4 linked regions of the Saccharomyces cerevisiae S288C genome follow. The gene in region 1 interacts genetically with each later gene. Each region holds a gene or a part of one and is shown in the gene's direction. Other genes may lie near its edges.

Region 1 (3,623 bases):
TTTGTGGCGCTTTAACGTCACCACAAATTATGTTATTAATTCATAATTCGAGTCCCTTGAGTTGTAGATCAGTCATCAATGGCGCCACCATTAGTATTTCTGCCTCTGCTCGTTTCATAGGTCCCTTAGTATGGGGCTATATTATGTCTTGGTCCCAGCAAAATGACGTCGCCTGGGTCAGTTGGTGGTCGTTAAGTCTTTTTTGTATGGTAGCTCTTTATCAAAGTTATAAGATAGCACCAATTGATGATAACGAAAATGAGCTTCATGGACAGGGTAGTGAAGATGCCTACAATTCGCAGTCACAGTCTTCTGATTTAAGAATGGCTCATCGATCTAGTTTAAGCAGCTTAAGTAACCAACGCTGTACCACATGAGAAATTTTTTTTCAGAAGGCTTGCAAAAAGGATATCTAATAAAAAAAAAAATGAACTCCAGTAGATTTTAGATATCAACCATAACTGGCGAAAATTTGCACCTTTTTGATGAGAGCATGTTATGTCAAGGCATGGCCGCGTGATGGCATTGCACTCAAGATAGTTTCCGGAATTATTATACTCCTTATGTAAATTTCAATCCGTTTATGTAATTATATCCAGGAACTCAATTTGACCAGACAAGTAATGGCGCCCATTTTGAGCGAGAGAACCCATTTTTCTATACAAATTTCACTAGAGCACGGCCGTTACATTTAGTAATAGCCAATAAGGGTTTTTTATCGATTAGTGTTCCCTGCGCTCCTTAACATCATACAACCGAGTACTTGACATGGAGATAGTAGGCAAGTAAACCAAAGTCCTTTCTTCAAAAGTAGAAAACTTGAGCACTTATTTCCTGCGCATGTCATATGTTAATTTTCCTCAACTGCGCTGAATACGTCCTGTCAATTCAAATATATCACGTTGTGAGCAGCCCTGAAGAAGAAAACCTCAACAGCAGTATTACTATTACAATCAAACAACTTTAGTGCCGCGTGATACCGGGGGTTGAAGTGGGTGCATTGAGCCGTATTCTTCTTCCCCGTAAGAAAGTTGTGTATCCTTTTTACTGCGTTGTAATAGCTTCTGAAAACCTAAAAAATGAACGCTATGTAGCTCATATCCGTTTTGCATAAGTAAGAATAACTACTTGTGCAGGGTGCCGAAAGGGATGGAAAACCGCTGCAGCAACCCTTGTTACATACAGTCGGATCCATCTGACTTACTTTCCTTGCGTCTCCCTGCGCGATTTTGTTGGCCATTTTCCAGATCCTCTAGAATTTTTCAAGGGTCGAGCCGTAGGAGGATTCTCTCAGAAGGCAAAAACGCATCGAAAGCGTGCTTTGTAAGAATATTTGGTATGGCTAAAGTAAGCAAAGCCATATCCCGATCCCGATCCCGACTCTTATTCCGATCCCTTCCGCCACATCCTGCATGTTTATTCGAATACCAAATTAGCTCATCTTCGTTATTTCATCATCCCTTTCTGCTATGGCAAGGACAAGTTTTTTTCTAGCATCTCATCGAAAACTTTCCTCTCCCTAATTGGCCAAAGTTTTCATATTCATCATCAGTTAGAAAGTATAATATCAATCCCTTACCTCATTACAAGTTGTATCACACTAAAAAAATCATATATAAGTCTGTGAGAGTCTTCAATTATTTAGCGTAACACCTATTCACTTTCTAATCTTGTTTCTTGTTTTTACATTCTGCAATACAACACAACAACAAATATTAACTCAATTATTATTATTTATAATTACAAAAACAAAACAACAAGTTTGAGACTTTAATATCTTTTGATTACTAAAAACAACAAATTTCAAATGAACGATACGCTATCAAGCTTTTTAAATCGTAACGAGGCTTTAGGGCTTAATCCACCACATGGCCTGGATATGCACATTACCAAGAGAGGTTCGGATTGGTTATGGGCAGTGTTTGCAGTCTTTGGCTTTATATTGCTATGCTATGTTGTGATGTTCTTCATTGCGGAGAACAAGGGCTCCAGATTGACTAGATATGCCTTAGCTCCTGCATTTTTGATCACTTTCTTTGAATTTTTTGCTTTCTTCACTTATGCTTCTGATTTAGGTTGGACTGGTGTTCAAGCTGAATTTAACCACGTCAAGGTTAGCAAGTCTATCACAGGTGAAGTTCCCGGTATTAGACAAATCTTTTACTCGAAATATATTGCCTGGTTCTTGTCCTGGCCATGCCTTTTATTTTTAATCGAGTTAGCCGCTAGTACTACTGGTGAGAATGACGACATTTCCGCCTTGGATATGGTACATTCGCTGTTAATTCAAATCGTGGGTACCTTATTCTGGGTTGTTTCGCTATTAGTTGGTTCATTGATCAAGTCCACCTACAAGTGGGGTTATTACACCATTGGTGCTGTCGCTATGTTGGTTACCCAAGGTGTGATATGCCAACGTCAATTCTTCAATTTGAAAACTAGAGGGTTCAATGCACTTATGCTGTGTACCTGCATGGTAATCGTTTGGTTGTACTTTATCTGTTGGGGTCTAAGTGATGGTGGTAACCGTATTCAACCAGACGGTGAGGCTATCTTTTATGGTGTTTTGGATTTATGTGTATTTGCCATTTATCCATGTTACTTGCTAATTGCAGTCAGCCGTGATGGCAAATTGCCAAGGCTATCTTTGACAGGAGGATTCTCTCATCACCATGCTACGGACGATGTGGAAGATGCGGCTCCTGAAACAAAAGAAGCTGTTCCAGAGAGCCCAAGAGCATCTGGAGAGACTGCAATCCACGAACCCGAACCTGAAGCAGAGCAAGCTGTCGAAGATACTGCTTAGAGCAGCTTGAGATTGTCTTAATCATTCTTTGCTTAACACATTTCAAAACATCAGTTTTCTTCTTTTAATGTCACTAATGAAACTTAATATTTAATAATCTAATTTTAATTTCTTTATGAAATATGCAAAATAAATTATATACACAAACACAATAATTAATAATCTAATCTCATTTTTCCAAAATCAAGAAATGTTCTTACTGCTTCCATGCCTGAATAGTCTAATCGATAGTAGGCCATTTCAATTCTTTTTAGTTATATGGAGACGCAAACACCACTTTATTTTAGCGTACCCTACCAAAATTAAACGATAATATGGTATTTTTATTCTCATTTGTTACACTCTATTCTGTATCACTGGATACATTCGCGGTAACTTGTTTTATAAAGTGAGATGGGATTTATGACCATTAGATGCATATAAAAGCTTCCAAATAATAATAAGATATTGTGACTTTTGGTGAACTAGATACGCTTTGAAATTCTTCATTTGTAATGAAGCAGGATTCACATTCAATATTTTGTAGCTTACAATTGTGAATGTTGCGTTTTCCTACTTTTTCCTTTCATTTTTCAAAGCATCGAGCATTTTTTTCATTTCTTCCAAACTCATCCTTTGCCTTTCAGGATTGATAATACTATTGTGTCTTTCCGTACTTTCTACCAAGTTCAATAACTCGCATATGTTTTCTCTTTGAGATAATAACTGAAATGCTGTTAAATTTTTCAGCGTTACATTGTTGTAAGCTCTTTCAGGATTCATTGAGCTGATTGTGTTGTTCTGTGACATACGATATACTGATACTCTGTTCTAAATA
Region 2 (4,820 bases), on another chromosome or scaffold:
CGCCGTGGATTGTTAAAGGCTCTTTTTCGGACGCCACATATTCCTATGCTGCACCAGCAATTGGTGTCTTCGGATCATACTACTTCGCACTAGTTTATATTCAAGGCTTTTAATGGAGCTTCGCTCTTAAAAGAAAAAACTTCTTTACTTCCATGCGCGCGTTTTTGGCGTACGTAGCACTGCGAAAGAGTGGGTGATATATAGAGAACATGTTGTAGTATACGTACGCGGGCAATTGTGGTGACAGTATCTCTTTCTGTTAGCAAGTAATATATCCTTGGCCTCAACCTGTCAATAGTGTTAGTTTATCCGCCATCTTGGCGCTATCATACACGATCTTTTTCAATGTTTCTCGTATATACAGGACAGGGTTCGGGGTTTTTGGCGGCAGGAGAGGAAAGCAAAAAAAAATGAGGCAAGAGTTTTAATTTTGCCAGCGAAATGTTCTGCCATTTTCATCTTTACCGCTCGAATTAGTGATGTTCCAGACGAAGGTAACATAGAGTGATCGATAGGTTCTTCAATTCATCAAGCATTATCTCAGAATTGTGTTTGGTAAGCTCTCTTCGAGAAAAGGAAGAACAAAAAAAAAAAAAATAAAGCAAAGAACAGGTTATAACGCTATGGGTAACTTTCCAGCTCCAAAAAACGATTTGATATTGAGAGCCGCAAAGGGTGAAAAAGTCGAGAGACCGCCATGCTGGATAATGCGCCAGGCAGGTCGTTACCTGCCGGAATATCACGAGGTGAAAAACAATCGTGATTTCTTTCAAACTTGCAGGGATGCGGAAATTGCTTCTGAGATTACTATCCAGCCGGTAAGACGCTATAGAGGCCTCATTGATGCTGCTATTATTTTTAGTGATATCTTAGTTATTCCGCAAGCCATGGGTATGAGGGTCGAGATGCTCGAAGGTAAAGGTCCACATTTCCCAGAACCTTTAAGAAATCCGGAAGACCTCCAAACGGTATTAGACTACAAGGTTGATGTTTTGAAAGAGTTAGATTGGGCTTTCAAGGCAATCACCATGACAAGGATCAAGTTGGATGGTGAGGTTCCCTTATTTGGCTTTTGCGGGGGACCTTGGACTCTAATGGTTTATATGACGGAAGGCGGTGGATCCCGTCTTTTCAGATTTGCCAAACAATGGATTAACATGTATCCAGAGCTTTCTCACAAATTATTACAAAAAATCACTGATGTGGCCGTGGAGTTTCTGAGTCAGCAAGTCGTGGCGGGTGCTCAAATACTACAAGTTTTTGAAAGTTGGGGTGGTGAGCTTTCGTCTGTAGATTTTGATGAGTTTTCCCTACCATATTTAAGACAAATTGCCGAAAGAGTGCCTAAAAGATTGCAAGAATTAGGTATCATGGAACAGATTCCTATGATCGTTTTTGCGAAAGGGTCGTGGTATGCTTTGGACAAGCTATGCTGTTCAGGATTTGACGTTGTTTCGTTGGACTGGTCCTGGGACCCAAGAGAAGCGGTAAAAATAAACAAGAACCGTGTCACCTTGCAGGGCAACCTGGATCCTGGCGTCATGTATGGTTCTAAAGAGGTAATAACAAAGAAAGTTAAACAGATGATTGAGGCTTTTGGAGGTGGGAAGTCCCGCTACATTGTTAATTTCGGTCACGGTACCCACCCTTTCATGGATCCAGACGTCATCAAGTTTTTCTTGGAGGAGTGCCACAGAATTGGTTCGAAGTAATGTGGAAATATTGATTCTTATAGTGTTATAAGTGATAATATACGTTTATGTAAATAATATCTTTTTCACAACGTTCAAAAGTGGCCTTTTTTCTTTTTTCGATATTCTGTATATTTATTACGATTTTTTTTTTTTTCAGATATTTATTTTTGCAGGTTCTCTGAATGGATGTAGTGACAAAATCTTAAATAGAAGAAAATAAAAGATGAAGGTATATGAAAATAAATGAGAATGCATATCACCTTTCCTTCGAAGAAAAAGGATTTTCAAAAGATCTGCACGCCTGTTGACAAGCTTCCAATAGCATGAATTCACAAAAGGCGAGTAAAATGACTGGCTCACTAAAAAAGAATGATCTTTATATTTTTGATTTGTCTGAGCAACTTCTGAATTCATTGAAATTGATGAGCTTTGACTCCACACTGCGAGAAGTTGAAGTAGAGAAGACATCTGATAATGATAGAAACAAGGAGTCTGGAGATCTCCAAATAGCAAGAAAGAAGGTCACATCAAATGTTATGCGTTGTAGTGTTTGTCAAATGAGCTTTGATTCCAGAAATGAACAAAAGGCCCACTACCAGACTGATTATCATTTGATGAATGTTAAGCGTAACCTTAGGGGGCTGGATATCCTATCCGTTGAGGAATTCGATGCGCTGATTTCTAAGGAGCATGGTATCAAGTCTGAAGACGAAAATTCTGGCGGCGAGCAAACTTCAAGCGATCACGAAGAAAGTGAGGAAGCCAGCGATCGGGACCCGGACCTACAAACTAATAATTATATGGAAACTATAATCGAAAATGATTTGCAGAAATTAGGGTTCCAAAAAGACGAGTCGGATGCTATTAGCCATATTAATACCCAATCGCCCTACATTTATTTCAAATCGAAGTATCTTCAAAAGAATGAGGTCTTGGCGATTTATAAGTCTCTATTTAATAAAAGGAGTCTTTCCAACCCCAATGAAGCTTTGACTTTTTGGAATTCGCAAGAGAACCCAATGGCCATTTCAGCTCTGTTTATGGTGGGAGGTGGACATTTTGCGGGAGCAATTGTTTCTCATCAAAGACTCAATGTCAAGGGGAACGCGCACAAGAAGGACGAAACCTTAATTGAGCAAGCGGTCAATTTCTTAGAGCACAAGACGTTTCACAGGTATACTACCAGAAGGAAGCAAGGTGGTTCTCAGTCAGCAATGGACAATGCAAAGGGAAAAGCTAACTCTGCCGGTTCAGCACTTCGTAGGTACAATGAAAGCGCTTTAAAAACAGATATACAGGGTGTGTTGAAGGACTGGGAACCTTATCTGTCAAAGTGTGATAATATTTTTATTCGAGCTCGCAATGTCAGTGATAAAAAAATTTTTACTGATAATACCGTTCTGAACAAGGGTGATGAAAGGATAAAGAGCTTCCCTTTTACCACGAACAGGCCCACTGTATTAGAATTGAAGAAGGCATGGTGCGAACTTTCCTACCTGAAAATATTACCTAAGCCTGAACCATTGGCAGTGAAAGAAACAGTACAAAAGTTAGAAGTGTCGAACAAAAAGGACGAATTTAAAGAAAAACAAGAACCGTTACTGGAAGAAATCCAAACAGAAGAAATAATTTCTCTGCTGAAGAAAGGAAGGGCACCGTTATTGATATCCTTCTTAAAAAAGAATAAGCTTGATGGAAACTTTCGGTTAAAGCCTGAGAGTAAATATTCCTTAACCCCTACCATGTTACATTATGCATCGCAGCAAGGGATGAAACAGATGGCACTGATTTTGCTCTCAAATATTAAATGCGATCCAACGATCAAGAACAGACTAGGAAGGACTGCGTGGGATTTGAATAGAAACGACGACGTGAGACACGCGTTTCAAATTGCAAGATACAATCTTGGAGAGTCTTTCACTAATTGGGACGAAACTCATATCGGTCAGCCATTGAGCAGAGAACAAGTTGATGAAATCAATGAAAAGAAAAAAGCAATAGAGAATGAAAAGGCAGAAAAACTGATTAAATTGGAATTAGAAGCCGCCAAGGAAAAACAAAGATTTGCTAAAGATGCAGAGAGGGGTCCAGGCAAAAAGTTAACCAATATTCCTTCAATTCAGCAACAAAATTTGAATTCTTTGACCGATGAACAGAGACGCAGATTGATGAGAGAACAAAGGGCTAGAGCCGCAGAAGAAAGGATGAAAAAGAAATACTGAGGAATATCTCATATTCAAATTTTTAGGATTTTTCTTAGCATTTGCATATATTTTCATAGACACAGTACTTACATTTAATAACAGTAATTGAAAAGCAATATTAAAATATAGAAGCCCAAATTTTATATTTCAAATGAATAAATGTTGTTTTTTTTGGCAATTTTTTGCTCTTCTATATAACAGTTGAAATTTGGATAAGAACATCTTCTCAACGCGAAAATGACGCCTCCAGTGAAAAAACATAAACTTTCAATGCAGTCTTCGGTACACTTATGAGTAACCCATATAGAGATCGTACACATTTTACAAGGATTTAGAGACAAAGTAATATTCTTCGTTGATATAGAGGTGTTCAATTGTTAAATGCTTTTCTTCTTTTTATTAGAAAAAGCGCCTTGCTTTTTGTTGTATCACTTGTAAATCTACCGTCCCTTACAAGAACATTCACGAAATTTAAGTGGCTCAGAATGAAAAAGAAACAATATAAAAAAGCTTTCCGTAGTCATCAATTTATTTTACATAACACTAGATATAAAGAAAAGAAGATAATATTTTTATATAATTATATTAATCTTAGTTTCTAGAGTTGATGATATCAACAAATTCTGGCTTCAAAGAAGCACCACCGACCAAGAAACCATCGACATCAGCCTTGTCCTTGAAGGTAACGGCGTTGCTACCGTTAGCGGAACCACCGTATAAGATTCTCAATTCGCTGGCAGCCTTGTCACCCAACTTGGAAGCCAAGAACTTTCTGATGGAAGCGTGAATATCTTGAGCATCTTCTGGAGTAGCAGCCAAACCGGTACCAATGGCCCAGACTGGTTCGTAAGCGACAACGACGTTAGTCCAGTCCTTAACTTCTTCCAAGACAGCGTTCAATTGTCTTTCAACAACATCCAAA
Region 3 (3,686 bases), on another chromosome or scaffold:
ATTCATACGTGACGATATTTGAATGAGTTAAATAGAAAGTCTTATAATCCGTCAAAATATCATTCATTACTGTAGTCGGCAAGTATATTTCTACCCCAAGCTCCCTAATGAATTTATTCAGCTTGGTAAAATTTACATTACTCTTTTCAAATTTGTAGTAAGTTAACCAGAACGGTACAGAATTTTTAATGAGGATGTTTTTTTGATAAAGGTTGAAATATTTCCTTGTTTGCATATTATTTTTAAGTACAAGCCATGTAGTTTTTATCAATTCTACCACGACTATGCTTAAGTTTTTATCATTTATTAAGGTCTGTAAATGCACCTTGGCATCAATTTGATTATTGATGTAGTTGGTGATTGATGTCTCTAGGATTTTAGTAAACGATGTTTGTTTCTCTAGAATTTCCTTTGGCGATTGATCTAAGGAATTCTTAAAAGAATGTCTTTTCAACATACAAAGGTACTCCGTCATAAGTAATATGTCGTTGGGCCAAATCTTTAAATAACGCGATACTGTCTCATTGAATATGTTATTGAATAAGGTATTATTTGACCGATATTTTCTTTTCAAAAACCTAAGAAAATCATACCTCAAAGTTTTGAAATCCAGTGGTAAGAACGTATTGGCTTTTTGGTATATATCCACTACCACTTCATCGGATATATTTTTCTTTGTTAGCCACTTAATATACATCATCCACGTATTTTCATGGTAAAGACAAGGAATCAAACATCTGTCAAAAACGGACATTACGAATTCTTTATCCAAGGATTTTGAAGGATCCGTCACAAATTTTAAATATCGCGACCAATTTTCCAAATCATCATTTAACACTTGGCCCAGGTTGAAGAAGGGCTGTTTGATTTTCGATTCGAACTGCCAAATTTCATTTACTGTTGTTTGTGTTTTTCGTAAAACTATATCAATATTCCTTGTTGTCTTCAAATTTTTTTCATTTAAAAACTTCTTGTAAGATGTGAAAAACCGCGCATACTGATGTAGAGGAACTTCAATAATGTACTCGTATATTCTTTGAACGTTATGCCAATTCTTCTGCCCAACTTCAAATTCTATAAACTTGTCCCAAAAAGGGTGTGATAGAAACTGCTTGCCAATAAGATCCTTTGCAATTTCAAAATTATTCCTAATAAAATCCGTTTCGTTCGGGTTATTAACACACAACACATTCAAATAATCACACCATAACTCCAGAGAAGTTGGGAACCATTTGACCGAGGTGGCCAGAACAGCAATCGATTTCTTGAGACCAAATAACTGGTACTCAATAGTAGCAAACCTCTTCCAAAATCCAAACAATAAAGGGTACTTACGCAATATTTGCCATAAAATAGTTTCCAAGGCCAATTTGATTGAATCATTTGGATTGCCATATTTAACCACTGTTTGCTCTATAACATCTACCATTTGGGTCAACGAAGAAATATCTGACCAGTCTAAACCACGATATGCTTGTACTAATGCTGTGTTGTCTTGAAGGAACTGGGTGTCCAAACCTCGAAGGGCATCAGGCCTAGGCTCAATATCTTCTATTGTAAAATTTGTTTCATCTGGCATAACGAAAGACGGATTGCCAAGTATCCAATAGCAGTAAGGGCCAAAACTTTTTGTTGAACAAAGAAATGGCTGTGGAAGGCGCGTTTTTACTTTAGGACTTTGAAAACTTTCTTGCGTAAATTCTGTTTAAGTCTGAAACTTTCAACTCTGTATTAAATTTGTTTTAAGATGTGCGACGGCGACGTAAAATGGTAAAGAAAAAGAAAATGAATGATAGTAAATCATACTGAAAACGAATGATCTGAAACAATAAAAAAAGATATTTGTATATAAATTATTCAGCCATGCTCAAACCTCCAGATTAAAAATCAATAATGGATTAATTGAAAGCCCTGGAGCTGGCATTTTTTACCACATTGTCTAAGAGGGAAAGGAAAATGACAACAAAGCGCTAAATAATGGAATCAAGTTTACAAAAATTGAAATTCCAGGATATTGACATAAATCTTATTCCTACTGCGAAGTGGACCACAAAATTACAGTATATTCTATACACCTGGTGTCAGTCGATACTACATGTGGCCATGTTTTTTTCTGATATATACACGTGTATTAAATTACTGGCATTTAACACATGGTCGAACAATATCATCCAACCATTCTTGGAATTCCGTATTTCAAAATGGTTGTTTAGCGGATGCATATTATGCTCCTCATTAATATTAATTTGGGAGTTGGTAATTGGATTGAGAGTGTATAGGAAGAAAGAGATTACATCGAACTACATGAATGGCATTAGCAGATTAATAAATTGCTTGTTCAATTTCAAAAAGTATCAAATTTTCGAACTAATAGTGCTGACTGATGAGAAAAAATTCAGTAAGTGGTTATTCTTTTCATATTTTGAAATCAGTGGATGTTTGAGGCTATTGTTCGGTGACTCTCCAAGGCAAATAATCAACGGATTAACTTTGTGGTCAGTTTTACTGACAGTTTCGAATGAGACCAGTAGCGGAACCCATAGTACTCAAAGCCTAGGTAATTTAGATGACCTAAATGGAATAATAAACAAGATAAAACATATTGCTAAGACAAATTACGAAGAAAGTGTGATCTTGTCCTTCATGTTGTTCTCGTTTATCATATGGGTAATTTTAATAAGCAAATTAATTCTAAGCATAATAATATTCATCATTTTTATACGTCCGAGATTTTTGTCTAGTAAAAGGAAGGTTAAGGGGTATGAATTGAAACTACGAAAGTATGTGTCTAAAGTCATTGACGAGAATTTAAGTAGAACTGTCTACGAATTGGGAATATTGATAGATGATGAGGAAGAAGGGACCATATGTGGTGACAACAAAACGCAAAAAAAATTCGATTATGATAGTCCTGATTATGGCGACGAAAGCACAATACCGAGTTACTACTGCTACTCGGATGTAGAAACGTACGAAAGAGTATATACGCCCATAAAGGCATATTTCCCCCAGAAATACAAACATAAATACATATAAATGTAAACGAAGCTTTTTTTGACTGCAAAAATGCATTAAAAGTAAATCGATTCTCATTTATTGTATATATATTGTATATATTGTATGAAATATTTATAATGATAATGATAGTAACAAAAACCATTGATGGCTATAAACAATGAAACAAAAAAAAGCACTACGAAAACAGTAGATTCGTGAGGAATTGAAAAAAAGAGTGAAAAAACTAATAAAAACAACGAGAGTAAATAGGATAGTACAAAAATACTAGGAGTAAAAAAAGGCCCTCTAGTAGTAGTAATAGTAATAGTAATAGTAGTAGTACTAGTAGTAGTAGTAGTAGTTAAAGGCTATGGTTGAATAAAAAAAAAGTCTGGATGGTAGTGTTTTGGTTTTACAATTAATTAGATTTTTTCAAATCATTCTTTTTTATACCAAAAGTAGCATCATTGTTTGATGCTTTCTCTTTCTCATCAGCAATTTCTCTTCTGAGCTTAACTAGCGAGGCCAGTTTTTCATCTGGTTCATAAATACCAAACCTTCTAAACCTCCTAATTTCAGCATTCATCTTACCAATATCCCCGTCATACTCTTCCAAGATCTTCTTTAGATTGTTTTCCAGCTCCACAAAGTATTCTTCACTTAAAATGAATTTCCGTTCGGTTTTAATA
Region 4 (4,090 bases), on another chromosome or scaffold:
CTGAAGAATCTGACGACGACATGGGTTTCGGTTTATTCGACTAAACATACAAGGAAAGTCATTTTTTCTGCAACGTTTTTTTACCCTTTATGTATATATATTTACATATAAAATAAACCTCTAATCAATCAGTATTTAAAAATCGGAAGTAATGTCCATACGAAAGGGCTACGAGAATTTAACCATCTCGTTCTTTGCTAGAAATGGCACTGCGGGATAGCCCCTGGTTGCGGGATATCAGACCTGTCGTCACCATAGCAACCAAAAATTACATAAACCCATGGTTGCTCGCCCTTTGATGGCGACGCCGACCGAAGCTTCTCCCGCGCACATTTTTAAAATTTTTACTCATCGGGAATGAAAGGTTCTTTGACACATGTAAAGCTCCCTAAGTTGGACATACGTCGGTCCTTACAGGCTTAGCAATACACCTATAAGGCACTAGAAACGTATAAAATTTGAGCACTTTAGTTTCTCATCCCTTTTGATACGAAACGCGGGCAAGGCTACGGCATACAGGAATTTAACATTTTGTTGGCTATGGAGCTAAGAAGTAGACGGAGCGCAGAGGCCTATCTTGTCACGCCTGAGGAACCTGCCAAGAATAAGAGTGAACGGAGCATAGAATCCAATGAGAGGGTCGGCACGAGGGAAGCAAAGAGCGAGAACACAAGTGTATTTAGTCCCGCTTACTCTGATACCGCTACTACAGATTCATCGAAGAAAGTTGATGACAATGAATACTACAATTTTACTAGTCACTTCATGCCATCTTTGAAAAACACCAGAGAACTAGAAAACACAATTCTCAATCTCATACAGAGGATAAAGGAAGGGGATGATGAAACGTTAGTTAGTGAGAAAGATCTCATATTAAGTGTGCTTAACAGGTCTTTAGCATCCACATCTCACTGGAAGTTACAGGCCCAGCTATCGGAGTTAAGGGCCACCTCAGAGGGAAGGTATGCAGTTGAGACAAACTTGTTGAAAAAAGAGGTAGAATTTTTAAAAAACAAGACCCCAAAAACCAACGAAAGTGCAAGTTCCGCAGAGTTGAGACCACTTCTTGAACGACCTTTAAAGCGTAAACTGTCATTGCCAGGACTAGCGCAAAGACCATTATCCACTGGCGCTAGGCTAGAAGGAGGATATGGAGGTGTATCGCCGAACTCATGGAAAACCAAAGTTCCAAAACTTCCTCTTCCTGCTTCCCGGCCGTCTTTGAATCTTTCTCCCCAAAAAGTCCCAACGGGTACTGATAAAGTTGAGGAAGATACCAAAATTGACACATTGGAATTAGTAGAGAACAATAAACCGCATCCAAGGATGAGAAGAAGGAGTGACAATCCAGCAACAAACGAATATGTGAGAGTTTTTCATTTGGAGAAAAAAGAACCTAAATCACGAAAAAAATAGTATGCTAGAAAAAAATATTATTGAACGTCAATAATTTTTCTTTCTCATGGGACCAAACACATCATTTATTCTCTAATAATATTCTATTCTCTTTATTTCTGGTTTACTCTTTTAAAATTCTCCAAAGAGAAATATCTCCTTCAATTCTTCAGTTACGAATTTATGTTTACTTTTAACCTCTATCATACACCTTTAATCTAATGCCTCCAACTGTCTGTAATTTTAGTACAACTTAAAAGGGAAATTTTCCGAAAGTGTGAAAAAATTGGATTTTTTTTTCTCCTATTGAACTCAATGGAAGCTATCAGTTTGGAGAGGGACAATTATTTTCCTTCTTGTTTTTTGCCAAGAGAACAATATTGTAGTATTTAAGTTCTAATTTAATGTTATATATACTTATCTAATAGTTTTTTTTTTTCAATTAGATTGTTTTCCTTACGACGTTAATCCCTTGTCATCCTCACTTACGAACTTCGATGAATATGACATACGTAATCGGGAATGTTTTGTAAACTAATTGACGTAGTTCCTTTTTCGTAAACTGGACTGGACGGCTTGATCAAAATTCCCGAAAAATAAAAATTTCCCTCACGAGAATATGGAAATTACTATCGCCCAGCATTATTTTATCTCCTCAGAGAGTAAAAGAAGTTTCCTCTTTCCTAAACTTAAAAAGCAGTCCTAAATATATAGTTGACTTCGACGCATATCATTCATCGGCTGCTGATAGCAAATAAAACAACATAGATACAATGGATGCAACTACCCCACTATTAACTGTTGCGAACAGTCATCCCGCCCGCAATCCAAAGCACACTGCATGGAGAGCAGCTGTGTATGATTTACAGTATATTTTGAAAGCGTCACCCCTGAATTTCCTATTGGTATTTGTTCCTTTAGGTCTGATTTGGGGACACTTCCAACTATCTCATACACTGACATTTCTTTTTAATTTCTTGGCAATTATACCGTTGGCAGCTATCTTGGCTAATGCCACGGAAGAGTTGGCTGATAAGGCTGGTAACACCATTGGGGGACTGCTAAATGCTACTTTTGGTAACGCTGTGGAACTAATTGTTTCTATCATTGCCCTGAAAAAAGGTCAAGTGAGAATTGTGCAGGCCTCGATGCTAGGTAGTCTTCTTTCTAATTTGCTGTTAGTGCTTGGATTATGCTTCATATTCGGTGGATACAATAGAGTCCAACAGACATTCAACCAAACCGCCGCTCAAACAATGTCCTCATTACTTGCCATTGCGTGTGCATCCCTACTGATTCCCGCTGCCTTTAGAGCCACCCTACCTCATGGCAAGGAAGACCACTTCATCGATGGAAAAATATTGGAGTTATCCAGAGGCACCTCTATTGTTATTCTCATCGTTTACGTTTTGTTCTTATATTTCCAGCTAGGGAGCCATCACGCCTTGTTTGAGCAACAAGAAGAAGAGACCGATGAAGTTATGAGCACCATTTCCAGGAATCCACATCACTCTTTGAGTGTCAAGTCATCATTGGTGATACTTCTAGGTACAACTGTGATCATCTCTTTTTGTGCGGATTTTCTAGTCGGTACGATAGACAACGTTGTTGAATCTACCGGGCTATCTAAAACATTTATAGGTTTGATTGTCATTCCTATTGTGGGTAATGCCGCAGAGCATGTCACTTCAGTCTTGGTGGCCATGAAGGATAAGATGGATCTGGCGCTAGGTGTTGCCATCGGTTCCTCTTTACAAGTTGCCTTATTTGTTACACCATTCATGGTTCTTGTGGGCTGGATGATCGATGTTCCAATGACGCTAAATTTCTCCACTTTTGAAACCGCTACTCTTTTTATTGCTGTTTTCTTATCCAATTACTTAATTCTCGATGGTGAGTCAAACTGGTTGGAGGGTGTCATGTCTCTAGCTATGTATATTTTGATTGCAATGGCATTTTTCTATTATCCAGACGAAAAAACCCTTGACTCTATTGGAAATAGTTTATGAGTAAGAACAGTAGCGCAGAAATTCACCATTCTCTTTTTTTTTATATTTTATCTTCTTCGTAATTCTATCGATGGACCAATACAAAGATGATTATGACTAGCAAGTCATTATTATGATCGTTATATTATACATATTATGTTTACGCAACTAATTTTTATATCGAATTTTATCTGAAAAAAAGTTTTCAAAACCAACAAAATATTTTGTACACTCTTCGAAACTCAAATTCTGCACCATTTCCATTCTGATAAAAGGTTTAATATTTCGAAGCTTCTCAACTACAGCTCGTGTTCTTCTTGCAGCACATCAGCTGCTTTGCTGCACTGTTCAGGGTAACGTTATTCATTACAACGAGAATATTTAGGAATTTTGCTCAAATTCATGGAGCTTCCTACATCATTGCACAACAGAATTTCGTTTTGTAGTATAGTTTATTAGAAACAAATGTGAATAGATCATGAGACGCGAAGCCCTATTTTAGCGGATTTTAGCCTTACATTTCTGAGTGAGAATGCCAGCTGAAACACATTCTTGTTACATCTGTCACGGCATTCCAGCTGTAAAAAACCAGCAGATATCGCATAAAAAAATGGCCAGCTATAGAATAAAATTAGCCCAGCTATATTTTTATAGCGTCTTTTGATGACGCGAAAAGTAGACTTCGCGTAACACGAAAAATGCTGGTG

Evidence for each region.
Region 2: mutations in HSP30 (region 1) and VMS1 together harm fitness more than expected from each alone (negative genetic interaction), as found in Saccharomyces cerevisiae (2 studies listed by BioGRID).
Region 3: mutations in HSP30 (region 1) and PRM6 together harm fitness more than expected from each alone (negative genetic interaction), as found in Saccharomyces cerevisiae (2 studies listed by BioGRID).
Region 4: mutations in HSP30 (region 1) and VCX1 together harm fitness more than expected from each alone (negative genetic interaction), as found in Saccharomyces cerevisiae (2 studies listed by BioGRID).

Annotation. Positions count from the first base shown.
Region 1 is NC_001135.5:155,292-158,914, reverse strand, and holds HSP30 (Hsp30p), read left to right. Parts: upstream 1-1,807; coding exon 1,808-2,806; downstream 2,807-3,623. Other genes in the region: YCR023C (uncharacterized protein), read left to right, coding at 1-377; YCR022C (uncharacterized protein), read left to right, coding at 1,150-1,494; HTL1 (Htl1p), read right to left, coding at 3,359-3,595. UniProt on the Saccharomyces cerevisiae protein: Probably cooperates with other heat shock proteins in the translocation of polypeptides through membranes. It may counteract the altering effect of heat shock on the plasma membrane.
Region 2 is NC_001136.10:551,237-556,056, forward strand, and holds VMS1 (Vms1p), read left to right. Parts: upstream 1-2,017; coding exon 2,018-3,916; downstream 3,917-4,820. Other genes in the region: uroporphyrinogen decarboxylase HEM12, read left to right, coding at 624-1,712; triose-phosphate isomerase TPI1, read right to left, coding at 4,490-4,820. UniProt on the Saccharomyces cerevisiae protein: Endonuclease that cleaves polypeptidyl-tRNAs downstream of the ribosome-associated quality control (RQC) pathway to release incompletely synthesized polypeptides for degradation.
Region 3 is NC_001145.3:179,367-183,052, reverse strand, and holds PRM6 (pheromone-regulated K(+) transporter PRM6), read left to right. Parts: upstream 1-1,977; coding exon 1,978-3,036; downstream 3,037-3,686. Other genes in the region: PRP39 (Prp39p), read right to left, coding at 1-1,579; GSF2 (Gsf2p), read right to left, coding at 3,416-3,686. UniProt on the Saccharomyces cerevisiae protein: Low affinity potassium transporter that, with KCH1, participates in high-affinity Ca(2+) influx system (HACS) activation during the response to mating pheromone. Directly promotes K(+) influx and HACS may electrochemically respond to this K(+) influx.
Region 4 is NC_001136.10:230,484-234,573, forward strand, and holds VCX1 (Vcx1p), read left to right. Parts: upstream 1-2,168; coding exon 2,169-3,404; downstream 3,405-4,090. Other genes in the region: ribosomal protein P1 RPP1B, read left to right, coding at 1-44; YDL129W (uncharacterized protein), read left to right, coding at 541-1,416.